Linked DNA regions of Lepisosteus oculatus. The protein of the gene in region 1 interacts with the protein of each later gene in a biochemical or structural test. Links are inferred from orthologs where the notes say so. Each region holds a gene or a part of one and is shown in the gene's direction. Other genes may lie near its edges.

Region 1 (6,880 bases):
ATAGTAGACATTTGATATTGTTAATGAGTTTTGTGGAAATAACATAATTGATCAACTCATTGAAGAAATAGACATTTCAAGGAAGTCCTAATAAAGTACAATTCACTTACAGTACAATGCTTGATCCCTCATGGGGAAGTAAAGGTAATTGAAGAAATACAATTGCAACAAATACAGATGGATAGAAAATTAAATAATTGAAACACTCCACTAGCATGTCAGTCTCTGATTGCCTATAGTGAATGCTTTTCCACTGTCCACCTTCATTTTGAACAAGCTGGTTCACTACAGTACTATTGCTCCTGTTTTTATCAATCAGATCTATCTGTGCTTCTATATCAGGACTGATAAATAGACAAATGTGCAAGATGTTCATATGAGGAGTGGCAATCTTTCTTTAATTCACATATCATGCTTCACTTTTCAAAAACAGAGGAGAGCAAAGCAAGGCAGTGGATCAATATTTGCCATCATGGGGTAAAGTCAGTGCCAGATTTCCCATTAGACACTGTAGGCACAACATGCTTGCGATCAACTGTAGGTGCTCCTAGCTATCTAGCGGCTGTTCTAGAAACTAGATAGAAACTATCGAAGTGATGGTTGCTCGACTTGCTCCATCAATCACATGGTTTAGCATTAGAATAGTTTAAAGTGCATCATGTCAATCAATGTAATTCCATTGGTGTTTACCCCTCTTTTTGTACATTTTGGAGTGGAAGTACATAGGGCCTACAAACACCAAAATCCGGCCCTGGGTAACGTGACTTACTACATCACTTGCTTTTGCACTGTCATTGATTATTTAAGCTTTTGAGTCAGACTGCTAATTGAATTTCAGACCTGCTGGAACTCAGCTAGTATCACTTCCCTTCTCCACATATGGCTCAAATGCTGAGCAATGAAACAAAAATGTGCACATTTTCTTTCAGATAGTCAAATAACATTCCCCCTGTGGCTTTTCATAAATGATGTTTTATAGAATTAAATAGATTACAATGTTATGAGTTTTAATATTTTTTAAAACAATTTTATGGAAGTACAACTCACAACATTGATGTTGAAAGGCCAGCAGGGGATACATTTATTTTGAGGCAGCTTTCTTTTTTCACTTAAACCCACATTCACGCTGTGTTAAAACTGTGAATTAGGCCAGCTTTCATATTTACTACATTGTTTCATGATATGAAAGATAACACTTCTAAGGAGTAATGTTTGAGGTACTTCAGCTAAAGTTACCAGCTTTACAAGAGTAGCCTGCTGAAGCTACATTTTTGCTGTTTGTTCTTTGTGGTTCTGGAGCTTAAGGGAATGCCCTAAACTGACAGGCTGAAGGCACTGAATCTTTTTAGTCTTCAACATGGATGGTTTTGAGAGTAAATTATAAAATTATTCACAATCATCTAAGGCAATCCTGCTGAATTCTTCAGAATTTATACTGAAATAAGAATTAGAAGGCACAAGTGCAAACTACATGGAAGAGCAATTAAAACTGGCAACAGGAAGCATTTCTTCACCCAAATGGAATGAGAGTATGGAACAAGCCCCAATACCCTGGCTTCTTTGGAGAAACACTGTGAAACACTCAGATCAATTGACTACTAACTACCAATTGAGCTAGATGAGCAGAATAGCCTCCTCTGATTTGTAACTTTTCTACTGGTCTTCTATTCATTCCAATCAAATGACCACCTTTTGTTCTCGGTTTGCTTCTAAGTTCCACAGCATCAGGTCTCTTCTTCATTACCAAATGGGCCCAAGAACTGGAACCACAAATTCATGTCTGTGCTTTAAAGATCTGTATTCAACACTCACTGCATCTACAGCCTCCTACCCACTTGTACTGATGTCTTTGTTTAAGAGACTAACCTACAGAGATATTTTATTATTTTCTTTCAGTTTCAATCAGTAAAATTACTAATCTTGCATTTCTGTAGTGCCCCACATACACAATGAATTATCTTACAGTAGAAATTGAACATCTTCCTTCTATTTTTAAACATTTATTGCAGAGATAATCAATAAATGTTTAAAGACAGCTGACAATATCTGAATAATGAAGCAAAGAGGGTTATTAGGAAAAGTGATTTGAATGATCTAGATTCTGGAATGGTCAGTGAACTAGTCCAATGTGCAGATGATGTCAAAAAATAGTTTGACAAATTGAATACTCAGTAATCACTTGTCAGGTGGCATTTAATGGAGACAAATAGTGATAAAGCTGAGTGGTAAATGCACATACCAGAAATTCAAACTAAAAAAATAAGACAGAGGACAGGGAACATGTAGGAGCTACCTATTGACAAATTACTATCATCCTCTAGACAATGAGGAGAAGCAATAATCAATCAATCAGAATTAATGTTGAGCTACATTGGCATTTAAAGTGTAGCATTTAAATCAAAGGATGTTAAAATTGTACAATGGACTAGTAAGAACTAATTTAGAATATTGTGTAGTATTTTGATAATGCTGATTTGAAATCAGGCCAAAAATTACAAACTAGATACATTCCTAGGTTTAAAGGAATGTCCTATTCTAACAACTAAAAATAATGGCTATATTTAGTCTTGGACAGCTGAAACTGTAGAGAAGTTCACTTAAAACAGAGAAAAGGGGACAGAATTGTTATACAAAGATGGGAGTCTTCAAGAAGTTACCCAGTCATGTTGCTGAAGCAGATACTGACTTGTTTCAAGAAATGGCTGGATGAGATCCTGGAATCAATTAACTATGAATTACTAAAGCCTGTTACATTCTTGTGAAGTTAAAAACATTATTAAATGCTATATTGAAAAGCAGGTATACCCATACTATTAATACTATCAAACTGCCTTGTATTTCTGTTTGTAAGGGTATACTGTACCTTAATTGGTAGAAATAAACAATATTTTTTGTTGATGCATTGTGTTCTTTTTTCTTGAATTGTTTTGTGTTGCTCTGCTCAGGAAACAGTGGCTGCTGTTGACTAATGACAGAGCCCAGATTCAAACCAGTGATGAAGGGGCTACAGGACTCTGAAAGTTGGGAGCTCTCATTTTTTTTTCTGTCTGTTTATAGCTAAAGATCGCATTCTCATACAATAGCTGCTATTAGTTTTCCCAGCTGTTACTATGAGACAAAAGAATTGTTCTTTTTTTATCATGGTCCTGCAAGAATGTACGCATTCTTCATGCTGTTATCTATACTATGAGCACTGTTGGTCCTCAAACAGCTGAGTATCTGATATCGGAACCACAACAGTGTTGTTTTATTTCTTGATTGGCGTTATTTTATGCCCATGCTAACATTCTCAGCTCCTTTTTCTATTCCGTTTGAAGGTTACCATGCTGTGCTACAGGAATAACCCAATAAATAGAAGATTACATACAAGGAATGTGTTCAAAAGTAACAAAGTTAGAGAGTAGGATCTCAGGATGAAACTGTATCTGACTGGCTGTGGTTGACTGTTTGCTGTTTGTCACTATAGAAGAATTCACTTAGCCCTCCAAAGTAGAAGAAAAACAGAAAAGAACTAAGAATACTTTAGTTTCTGTTGGGTCACTGCTTCATGCAAACACAAAATGTACAAAAAATAAATTTCACTTTTAACTTCAAACCTTATCTTTCTTATTTTTGTTTTCTTATATTTAATTTTTTCAGTGTTATATGTCATTAAAGCTCTGTGTACAAGGGATCAACTAGTGAATGAACCAATTTTAACTGATCAACAGAAAAAAAACAAGATTATTCATAAGAAGCTTTAATGTTGCCTACTTGTTTTAATTATGTCCTTAATTCACCTGAATGATGGTAACTGAAAATTATTTTCAAATTACAAAAGCATGGACAGAAACAGCTGAAACGGCGATATGAAATAAAGAAATAAAATAAAATCTTTCTTGCAAAAAATGTCAGGCTTAAAAAATGAAAAGTATCTGTCTTTATACTCTTAACGCTTTAAAAATGTTTCACATGGGACTCATTATCACATTTCTTTGAAAAAAGGTAGGTCACTCTAAAACGCAGAGCTCTGATTGTGGATTAAAGCATCTGCTGTGCTGAGAGGTATTGAGTTGAAAATGCAACACCAGTGAGCTCTCTTTGATTGACTACTTCTCTTTGAGCCAGGTATTTATCTCATGCCCAGTCTCACTCCTGAGTAGCCTGGGGGAGCAGAGTGTTTTACATTACAGGGTACAGTGTCTACTTTGGGCTTCTCCTTGACTGGACTCATTTATCCTGTGCTTCTGTTACCATGTATGAAGTTTTTATTTTTAGAAATTTTGGATTTTCTTAATTTTTCTGCGTTACTATGTGTGTGATGTGTGTGTTTACCACAGTTTGCATGTGGTATTACAATTGTTAAATCATAAAACATACTAGCCTTTCTACAGTATGAATATTATGTTATTATGCTTAATATTAGGACAGTATGATTGAATTCTACCCAAAACAGGTATCAATGTGTTAAAAATTATATTTAATATTAAATTATATTAACACCAGTAGCGATTTAAGATTACGTTGGAGCTTTAGCCCCATCTTGCGGTTGGCCCTTAGTAGTACATTGGCTTATTGTGCTGTGCAGCCGCACTGGTCCGTCCATTTTGTTTTCCCTTGTACCATTGCTATGGTGGAGATGGATGACGGAGACGAGCCGGTTTTGATTCCTTCTCACAGCGGCGGATCTGGCTCTAAATCTGGAGGAGACAAAATGTTTTCCTTAAAGAAGTGGAATGCCGTGGCAATGTGGAGCTGGGACGTAGAGTGCGATACCTGTGCCATTTGTAGAGTTCAGGTTATGGGTAAGTGAAACAAAAAGAGGACGGCTTTATCGTGTCTTTTCACCAGAAAGGAAGTTGTGGATCCTGTTGGTCGGCAGCAGCAGCCATGCACCTCTTTTTAATGTAAGAGGGGGAAGTGGTGCGATGCGGGAGTTTTTTTTTTAAGATTTGGTTGATAAAAGCAGTAACATGCAGGTCGCGTCGCAGTAGGCCTTGTGCACTTATCAACAAGAGAATATTGTAGCTTCGTAGCAAAATCCGACAATGTTGTTGTTTAAGTAATAAAGTAGAAAACGTTGTTTCGAGTGAATAGTCAGCATTACAGTTATCTCTATTATAGTGTATGTAAGTATATAATTATAACTAGCTGTCTGAGTTAACATTTTACGATTTTTGTAACGAAAAATGATGTAAAAATACGTGTTAAGTTGCGGCTTTTTTTTGCCTGTGGTATGTTAACGTATTGGAAGTACATTTCAGATTTTTACGTCAATTTCAATCTGGCAGTGCATGTGTTTTTCCTGCTTGTTTAGATGCTTGCCTTCGATGCCAGGCGGAAAATAAACAAGAAGATTGTGTCGGTGAGTCCCCTGTGATTTGATAGTGTTATCTGGTGAAGCATGAAAGCTGGACTAAGAATTAATTGCCTTAGCCGTTCAGTGCTACTGGTTACGGCCCACCTTTGCTTTAAGAACATATGGTTAACAATAATTTAAATCTGCAGAACATTACTTGAATAACCAAATAACGCAGTATCAAGAAAACGGTGCTGGCGTTTTACTTTAATCGTGATAAGTGCAAAGTTATTTTACATACTAAAATCATGGGAGTAGTTTGTCTGCTTCATATTCCTGATACTACCGCATTTTTTGTGTCCAGAATTATCTTGCTTGAAGAAGTCGAGAGATAACAGTCATCTCTCGACTTCAGAATAACGATCTGATAAATTATCAATAGGTGCCTTGACGTTCTTATGGTAATCCAGACCCCTTTTAATGACCTCACTGCACAGCATTCCTATGCATGTAAAGGGCAGCTGCAGTTTACTCGGACCTCTTGAACCCTGTCCAGTTCATGAGCTCTCAGAGAATGTGATCTGTTGCTTGGTGGATTTTTAAAGCCAGCCTGTCTCATCCTTTTCCTTTTCAGTGGTCTGGGGAGAGTGCAACCACTCCTTCCACAACTGCTGCATGTCCCTGTGGGTGAAACAGAACAACCGGTGCCCACTCTGCCAGCAGGACTGGGTGGTTCAGAGAATTGGCAAGTGAACGCGTCCTGTGCATCAGGTGCAGGCTCACCCTCCTCGTACAGGCCTGAATTTGGACTTGCCAAGATGGGCTTGCCTTTACCTCTCGCCGTGTGGGGCGGCTACCATCCGTCGGCCTGGGACTAATCCGTTCATTTGCCGGGAAGCGGACAGCTCCTGCAGACCTCCTGGGAGCAAGTATGAATAGACGACCCTCCAGGAAAAGGCCTTCCAGCAGTTCTCTTCGCATGTTTCGTGACTGTACAGGAGCCTGTTTTACTTGGTGATGTAATAAAACAATCAAAAGAAAATAGGTATCATCTGTTTGTGTGAAACCGAAGGATGGGAAAACCCAATGGGGGAGGATTTTAGGGATTTAAAGGGCCTGATATCTGGGAATGCTTTGCTGAGGTTGGGAACAGGATTTTAAAAGACAGGCCTGGGAATGATTTGACGGTATATACTGTAGGTCAATCAAAGCAGAAGCTGGTGTTAAATTGTACTTTCCTTTTTAAAAAATGACGGTAGAAGTGCCAGTCCTCTTGACATGATAGCAGTTTTGTCCAGGAATGCATATTTCTAAACTTAATGGTTGTTGTGTGTTTTTTTTTTTTGGTTTATTCAGTGTTTATTTGAATCTTTCATTATAAGAAGGATAAGCCAGAAGGGAGAAAGGGTCTCTCCCTAACAATTTTAACTGCTCTGTTATTCTTGAGTGTTTGATTGCAAGTGTATTTACTGATTATTTTTTTTTACCTTCTACCCTGGACATCATCTCAGTCTGCTGCATGGTCAGATGATTCACTACTCCCTTGTTTTATTTGAATGGCAGCACTGTAGGATACCACATTATGTCTTGTAATAAGAGTTA
Region 2 (8,069 bases), on another chromosome or scaffold:
TGGTTCATTTCACTGCAGTAAAGCCAGTAGGCAGTTCCCTCAGCCAGGTAGGGTCCATTGAGCAGAACATGTTCTTGTGCTTAGCTGATATTCATTCCCTTTTCAGAGGCCCAGCTTGGAATACATTTTAATACATTCCGTCTAGCAAACTTCAGCAAGTGACACATCTCTTCCTGGTTCTGCGTCAAACTACTCTTTCAGTCACCTCAGTCTCCTCTGCAGCCCACCATAGAGGATAGCATAGAGTGACCGCCAAGATAGCCAATTTGAGTGATCAGAAAAATGAAAATGGCCTGAACTGGCCACTAGCATGCTTTTATTATTTTGTAAAAATTGCTTTTCCTGCACATGAATTGCTTTAATTTTTTCAGCTGGAATTTTCCATCCTTACCATACTTATGGAGGCTTCCCACAATTCAATGAAAGACATGGACCATCTAAGCTGGAAGGCTGTGCTGAGTAAATTATACCAGAGGGAAAGAAAGTTTTAAGGTCTTTGAAGGTTTTGTTTTGAGCTGCTGTCAGTACAGACAGCCATTATATTCTCACTTCAGTTAATCCAATTAGGACTCAGGATGGGTAATGTGTACAGACAGTGTAGCAGAACTCCACAAAAACTTTGGCCCCCTTCACATTTGAAGGCACCCGGCTCTGCTGTTTTGTATCCTTTTTGTTACAACAGATTAGTCTCAGTGCTTTTTGCTTCATGCAGTGTGTGTTTGAGAGAGAGACATTTGACTTGAATGCACTTATGCCTTCTTCACACTGAAACGGATTGGCGTGCAAGGCTTCTAAAGTCTTTCAGCTTTAATCTTCTGCTCTGTGGGCAGCTGAGAGCACACTGAATAAATGAGTTACTTTTTTTTACCTGTGCATCCAAGAGCATAGACTGCCCTTCAATCCCCTTTCACATCTGCCAGATGACTTCACTCCACTTCCAAATGTGCGAGATCACTGCACTTCTGCATCCATGGGACCCTGTGTCCAGGAGTATAGACATCCCATCGCTCCATGGTTTGTACCTCTATGAGTATTTACTCATGCAGAAACAGACACAATGTTATGTTTATTGTAATATCTTTATTATATACACAAATGGGGGTGGTGTAGCATGGTCTCTGGTCTCACACCTGATGTGGGTTTGAGTCCCCCCTGAAGACACTGCTGTTGCACTTTGAGAGAGGTACATAACCCCAGTTCACCCAGCTGTGTAAGTATTGCTGGAGGTAGGCTCTGCAATGGACTGATGTCCAGGAGAGGTGTGGGTGGGGGAGTCACATGCTCTCTAGGCCACCTAACACCACTTAATATCGGCCACACTGGTTCATGAGCTCTGGCCCGATGAGCTTATATGACTTGGATATGGAAATGACCTTACAGCACCTACCTACTTTCCCAAATAATGCATATGAAGTAAAGAAATACAATTTTGTCTTATCTTGGTCCTTGTTCTTGAAATGATGACAACAGGCATCTGTCTCTGCTAGCTGGAGAAAGCTGAAATCTATTCAACTTGAACACACAAACAGCACAGGTGTCTCGAGAGCACAGAACTGCACGGGCTTAAAGAGCACATCTCTTTGTTTTTCTCCAGATGACACATCTAGAATTCAAAAGGAGGATGAGTTAATGAGTTTCAGATTCAGAGGTAAATTAAATCATTTTCATCCATAGAAGTTCTGTCCTGCATTGTCTGATTAAACACTTTGTTTTTGATCGTTCCTATAGAAGACAGTTATTTTAATTATGGTTGGGATATCATGAAGTCAAAAAATAATTTTTGATAACAAACCTAATTATGCCATTAATATTGTGGTCAAAGTCTCTGCTGATTAAAATTTGCTCTTTGTAATGTAATATTGCATTTTGCAAATTGTGCTGGGACTGTATGAATAATTCACGAACTACTCTAATTCACGAGCTGCTCTGATGCATGCAAAATATTTTTAATCACATTATCACTAGTTCATTAAGGATCTAAAGAATGTCCATCTAAATAGATGTTTTAAATTTTCTTCTTTCAAAGAGATGTCCTCTTTTGTGCCACATGTAGTAAGTAGTGATCAGATTTTAGCATCATGCATCTATATTCTAACCACTTCTTTTAGTTCAGATGCCAAGGTGGAGCCTGAGTCTATCCTGGTATCCTGGCAAGCAGCTAGAACATGGCAGGATATACCCTGCATGGGAGACACAAACACAGATACACACACACTCACACCAGGGCCAATTTTCCCAGGCAAATAACCTACCAGTAGGTCTTTGCACTGTGGGAGGAACCCACACAAGTACAAGGAGAATACACAAACTGCACGCAGACATCGCTCCAGGTTTGGAACTGAGTCCAGGGCCCCAGCAGTACAAGGGCCAATGCTAACCACTGCTAACCACAGCTCCACCTCATGTCATGGAAATCTTTTATTGTATTGTGCATGTATTAAGAGCCTTTCAGCTGCTTGAGAATAACGTAGAATACAAACGAAAAAGCAGCCAGGGCAGGAGTAACATGTTCTTTTATTTTAGGAAGAATGCTAACAACCTCTTTCTGGTAGCATTATGAGCTCACAACTAGTTGTTGAATGTATTGTGTTTTGAAAAGCTCCTCTTCAGGTACTCCTCACATGCTTATGCAAATTGTACTTAAGATTTTTACATTTTATTTTTGTCGTCACTTAAAAAAGATATTTTTGCATCTGAATAGTTTAATAAAAACAAGCTCCTTGTGGCAAACCAGAACCTTTTATATGATATTAGGCTTCAGTGTCTATGAAATTCTTAATATCACATTGAAAGGAAAATGAGCATGCTTTAATTATTTACTCATTTTAGCTTCTTGCTGTTCTTTCTAGTCTCATTACAAAAGATCATTATCTAGTGTGTAGCTTTTCTGACACTCCTGCTGAACCAGGAGCAGAATCCAGAGATGTAATTTCCTCTGTGGCATCTCTAGGCCTGGAAAAAAAATGAAAGATGCCCTGATATTCTCGGAGACTGTGACACAGCAGTGCTGTAGGCAGAAATGAGCCCTAGATCAGTTTTAATGTGATGCCACATTCCGCTTCTCAATTGTGAATTGCATGAACTCATTTAATGATTTTGGAATTGTGCCCTTTCTAAGGTGAACACAAACCACATTAAATCACGGCAGCCAAACAAGACAGGATTTCCACTGTTTCACTGCAAAGAGACACTGGAAAAGTCTGGACTAATTTATAACAATTTTCTGTCAGCCACATCAATCTTGATACTATACTACACCACGAACCCTTTCACACAAAATGGAAACGGTAGTGGTGAGCTCCACACACCCAACTGAAAGACTGTGGGTTCAAATCCCAGGTGGTTATACTCTAGTTGTACTCTTGAGCAAGGTAAACAGGTAGAATCCAGACCAGAGCCACACAGCTCACGGGGCCAGAGGTCATCCTGGTTTCTGTAGCGTTCCAAGGATGAGAGAGAACTTCTGTCAGGGAGGACCGGAGTAACTGGTGTTACATCATGCCCCTGGAGAACTCACCACCCTTAATCAACTCCTTCAAACTCCAGTGCAGTTTCCAATGAACTAATCAGACACACCTTCTTCCATCTGCCTATTTAAACCAACCTGACACACTACTCCTTGCTCAGTATTGGGTTTTACCTAGCTAGAGCTGCATTGTATCTTGTTCTCTGTTTTGCAAGATTTCTAGGTTTTTGGCACTGACCCCTGGCTTTGTCTCTGACTTCGTCTTCTGGATCTTGACTTGGTTATTGTGGATTTACTGGTTTTTTGACCCTGGCCTGACCTCCTGACCCATGATTTTGGAGAAACTCCTGCTGGTACTTTTGAGTTCAGAGGATTCTGCTTCTTCTGCACCGTAACAACTGGGGTACAGTGCCTCAGTCAAGGGTACCACAGCAGTGTCTGTAGCAGGGACTCAAACCCACAACCTGTCAGCATAGATTCTCGTCTGCCCTTAAGCACAGTACAATGCGTTCCCCCAGATAACATGAATAAATGCCCCGCTGTATGAATGGGTCAATGAGAATTTGTTCTGACACTGTCCTACCTGGGAATATAAAGGAATGAGTGATCCATGAAAGTGTGCCCAGGTGTATAAACATACAGCACCCAGACAGAGCTGTGGGACTGTCAGTGACCTCATACTGGAATGGGGCTGGGGCCCATCTGGAGGTGCAGACATGTTTCTTGTCCAGCAGTGTCTGTAACCACAATGCTCCTACTGGTTCTGCTTCATGGAAACAGACAGCTGTCCTTACCCACCCCTCATTCACAGAAGGGAGCCTAGCAAGGAAGCCCATGCTGAAATGCTCAAATGCTGAAACCCTAGTTCTTCTCTATCATTCTGTTCATTTAAGGATGACATAAATATGGGAATCAGTCATGCAAATTGTTGATAAAGATTCTATAGAAATGTACATACTGTAGTACTTCCTTTTGAAGACTCATGCATAAGCACTGGCTGAATCACTGTCTAACACTGTAGCTCAATGAAGTCCAGGCACTTTCTCCATCTAAGGCCATAGGACTATATTCTTCTCTGCCAGTCTCTGGGGTGGGGGTCCTGGACTCAGCTGCTGCAGCCACATACACCATGTGACAGGCAGCCAGGCAAATCTATGAGCATATTGTGGTGGACCCTGGGTTTGGTTTCAAGTGTGTTTTATGTGTGGTGTCTGCATGTTGTTTGGATGGGTTTTCTCCTATAGTCCAAACACACGCTGTCCAGGTTAACTGGTGTCTCTGTGATTGTCCTCTGTATGTGTGTGTCCTCTCTCTCTCTCTGTGTGATAATGACCTGAGTCTATCATTGTCTTAATTTGATCATTTTAACAGATCTTTAAGCTATTTAATGATGTTGATTTTAATTAGACAATAAAACCTCTGGACAAACCGGGCCTCCAGCACTGGAACGGGAGACCTTTGTTCTGAGGATGATTAAACGGTTTCTGATGATACCGGATAAATACACGTAATAGAAACAGCGGAACTATTGTTTAAGTGTCGCGTGTGGTGGTCGGACGATTTTACCAGAGGGATCAGAAACGGCACTTCCGTCTCTGGTAGTGGTGTTTTCTAGAGTTTAAAGCTGTGAAATTTCCAGAAAATCCATATCCTAATCACCTTTTTTTTTTTTCGGGAGTTGTTTCTAACCGACATAGTGATCTGCGGCTTGAGCAGCGGACAGACCTGTGCTTGTGGTCGGTGTTTAGTAATGGTGTAATCCGGAACGCTTTCTTCAGAGACAGCAGGTAAACAGAAAAAAAAAAACAAGGAAGGCGTTAAAACGCTTTCGCGAAAGCCAGTTTGAACCGAACAGAAGAATTGTGAATGTGTTCCGCGATGAGGTTCGCTAAATGTCCCTCTGGTGGATTCCGTTTAAAATGTTTGAATCAATAGTTTTTTTTTTGTTGTTGGTGTAAAGGCATTCTCTGGATGTTCTCGTTTGTTGTATCGGTATTTACTGGAAGTGAGCTGTTTGGAATGTAGTGATATGACCGGCATCTTCTGTTTTTTACAATTTCTGTCTTGACAGCTGTATTGTAGTGTGACCCGAAGGACATGGGTGTCACTGTCCTTTTGAAAACGTTGATATATTCTTAGGAACTGGGAAGCTGATTAAGTATTTGTTGTGATTCCTTCCGCAATGGACTGGATGATACCGTATTGTGGATTGTTTGCACTGACATCCCGGTACAAGCAATTCCTGAAGTTTGATGTGAAATGAATATTAACAAATGAAGTGTAATTTCAAATAATGAGGTGTCTATGGATTTAGTTAGAATCGTGAATGCTCTTTTTTCCTTAGCGAGTCAAAACGCATTATCACGCGGATTTAAAGTCCTTGTTATATTTTATAAGCTAGTGAATTCTAATAAGTAATAATACATGTTTTATTTAACCTGGAGGTGTATGAGAGTTAAATTGTAGGCTCTTATTCAAGAGGCCTAGTCACTGCTTCCTTCAAGGTGTTTTTTCCCCAGATTGCTGGCACTGCTCCAGAATGTGGTGTTAGTTTTATGGAATGAAAGGGTTAGTATTTTCTAAGCAGTCCGTGGTTTATAGATAACCTGCAAAACTAGCAGAATTGTGGCTATCTTGCTACCTACAGCAGTGTGCCACTACATACAGATGTATGAGTTCTCCTAACTGCTGCAATGCAGGCTCTGGTATACTGTGGATTTCAGGAATTCTGCAAGATAGGGGCTCAGTGCAGGATTGCTCTTGTCTGCATAGAGGGACTGCAGAACCGCTGTGTACGGGTTTCTCTGGGAGCCTTTTTAGAGGTACACCAGTGCCTTTTTAATTGACTGTTCAAGTGACCATAATAAAAATGTTATAACTCAAAGGATTATACTTCAGGTTGTTTCTTCTAGATTTAAATCTATACTAAACACATATGTTGAGTAATCAGATTTTTATCATCTGTAATTAAGATAAATCTTACTATTGTGCAGTTCTACATATGTGCTGCTACATTTATCTTTTTTTTAACTTTATTCTATCTTGGCTCTTCAGATTGTCTTCTCTGTATTGGACATTTCTGGCCTAAAGTGAAATTCTGGGACAGGGTTAATGGGGAGGGGTTGCAGAGTCCTCACTAGCTCTAGGGAAATTCTCTGGTTTGAGAACCAGTACAGTGAATTTGTCAGTATTTCACAGATCATGATATAGATGGAGTTATAAAAACCACAGTCTTTCATGTTCGTAAGTGACTCTAACAATGAAGGGATAATGCTGTGAACAATGAACTTTCTTATAAAAGAGTTATCAGTTTTTGCATAAATTATTCAGTGATATTTTCCCATGATAGTAAATTTAACCCACAATACATTTTCAGACATCACCTTTTTAAAGAGGCCTTCTTGGTTTTCATGCCTGGTTGTCCTGCAGTATGAAGAAGAAAAATAAAAACTGAAAAACGGATTATGGCTCAACTTGCCACGTTTGGAGTGGAAGGAAGAAATACCATAGCAAATGTCAATCACAGATCGGAATCACAGCAGAATCATTTTCTGGTGTGGAGGTGATGTCTGGGGATTCGGAACTTTAATGGGGTGCTGTTCTATTACCCATGAGCCAGGCACTTTGCTCAGATTTTCAGTAAAATGCTGCACTGGATAATTAGGTCCAAATTTAAGATTTTGTAGCTAAAACTGTCTTCCAAGTAAATGAATAATACCTACCCCTGGGAGGCTTTGTCCCAGTCCTGTAGTTAACAAGGGGGCTGGGCTGTTTGTGACAGCTGTTGGAAACGGAGTGGGGGAGGGGCACACCTTTGGCTCAGACATGTATAGGAATCGCTGTGACATGTGATACAGGGCATCTCATGAAGCAGGAAAGAGCACCGGGGGAGAGCAGTGTGCTGCAGGACGTTCAAACAGCGCTGCTGAGGGCAGCGCTTTGCCCAGGGAAGCCCAGTCTGTCCCTGATTGCTGTACAAATGGCCTTTTCTAACTATGTTAACTATATTTTCTTCGTGCCAGAGTCTGTGTGGATGTGTTTACGCATTAAAGAAATAGAAGAGCTGCTTTCAGATACTCCATCTGAAATGGATCTCTTATCCCATGACTTTTAAAGTTTCCACCACACTATGTAAGAGTGTTAGTGTGGGGAAGGGACAAAGGAGAGAGGACAGAGGAGGTCAAAGAACTGGTTTATTTGATCTGTATTTCCTGTTATTTCACAGAGTGGCTCTCTGCTGTATTGAGCCGTACAGATGCTCATTGACCACCCCAGCAGACATGGCTATTGACAAGACTTCTCAGAAGTCTCTTACAGGCAGTACCTAGAAGAACAAGTTCTCAGTACACGACTTTATTTGCTTTGTCAGCAAGGCACTAGAATGCAAAATCGTTTGATTCCAGTCAATTCATAACTTTTGTGATGATAATTAATTATAATAATACATAACCAGTTTTTATGTGTTCCACTTTTAGACATTGGAGAGAAAACGTGCACCCTCTGGCCTACTTTGTTTGGGATGCTGTATCAGGGCATTAGGAAACGTAGTTATCGGGAAATATAACAGACTGCTTCGTATTGCAGTCCAGAGCATTTCCCATAT

What was found.
Region 2: the proteins of rnf7 (region 1) and ube2f form a complex in vitro, tested with the Homo sapiens proteins (10 studies listed by BioGRID, with this or other methods). The link is inferred for Lepisosteus oculatus from reciprocal best matches to the Homo sapiens genes RNF7 and UBE2F.

What each region holds. Positions count from the first base shown.
Region 1 is NC_090708.1:15,894,670-15,901,549, reverse strand, and holds rnf7 (RING-box protein 2), read left to right. Parts: upstream 1-4,572; 5' UTR 4,573-4,609; coding exon 4,610-4,784; intron 4,785-5,296; coding exon 5,297-5,344; intron 5,345-5,912; coding exon 5,913-6,031; 3' UTR 6,032-6,320; downstream 6,321-6,880. UniProt on the Homo sapiens protein: Catalytic component of multiple cullin-5-RING E3 ubiquitin-protein ligase complexes (ECS complexes), which mediate the ubiquitination and subsequent proteasomal degradation of target proteins.
Region 2 is NC_090707.1:7,789,636-7,797,704, forward strand, and holds the start of ube2f (NEDD8-conjugating enzyme UBE2F), read left to right. Parts: upstream 1-5,015; 5' UTR 5,016-5,253; intron 5,254-8,069. UniProt on the Homo sapiens protein: Accepts the ubiquitin-like protein NEDD8 from the UBA3-NAE1 E1 complex and catalyzes its covalent attachment to other proteins. Together with the E3 ubiquitin ligase RNF7/RBX2, specifically neddylates cullin-5 (CUL5).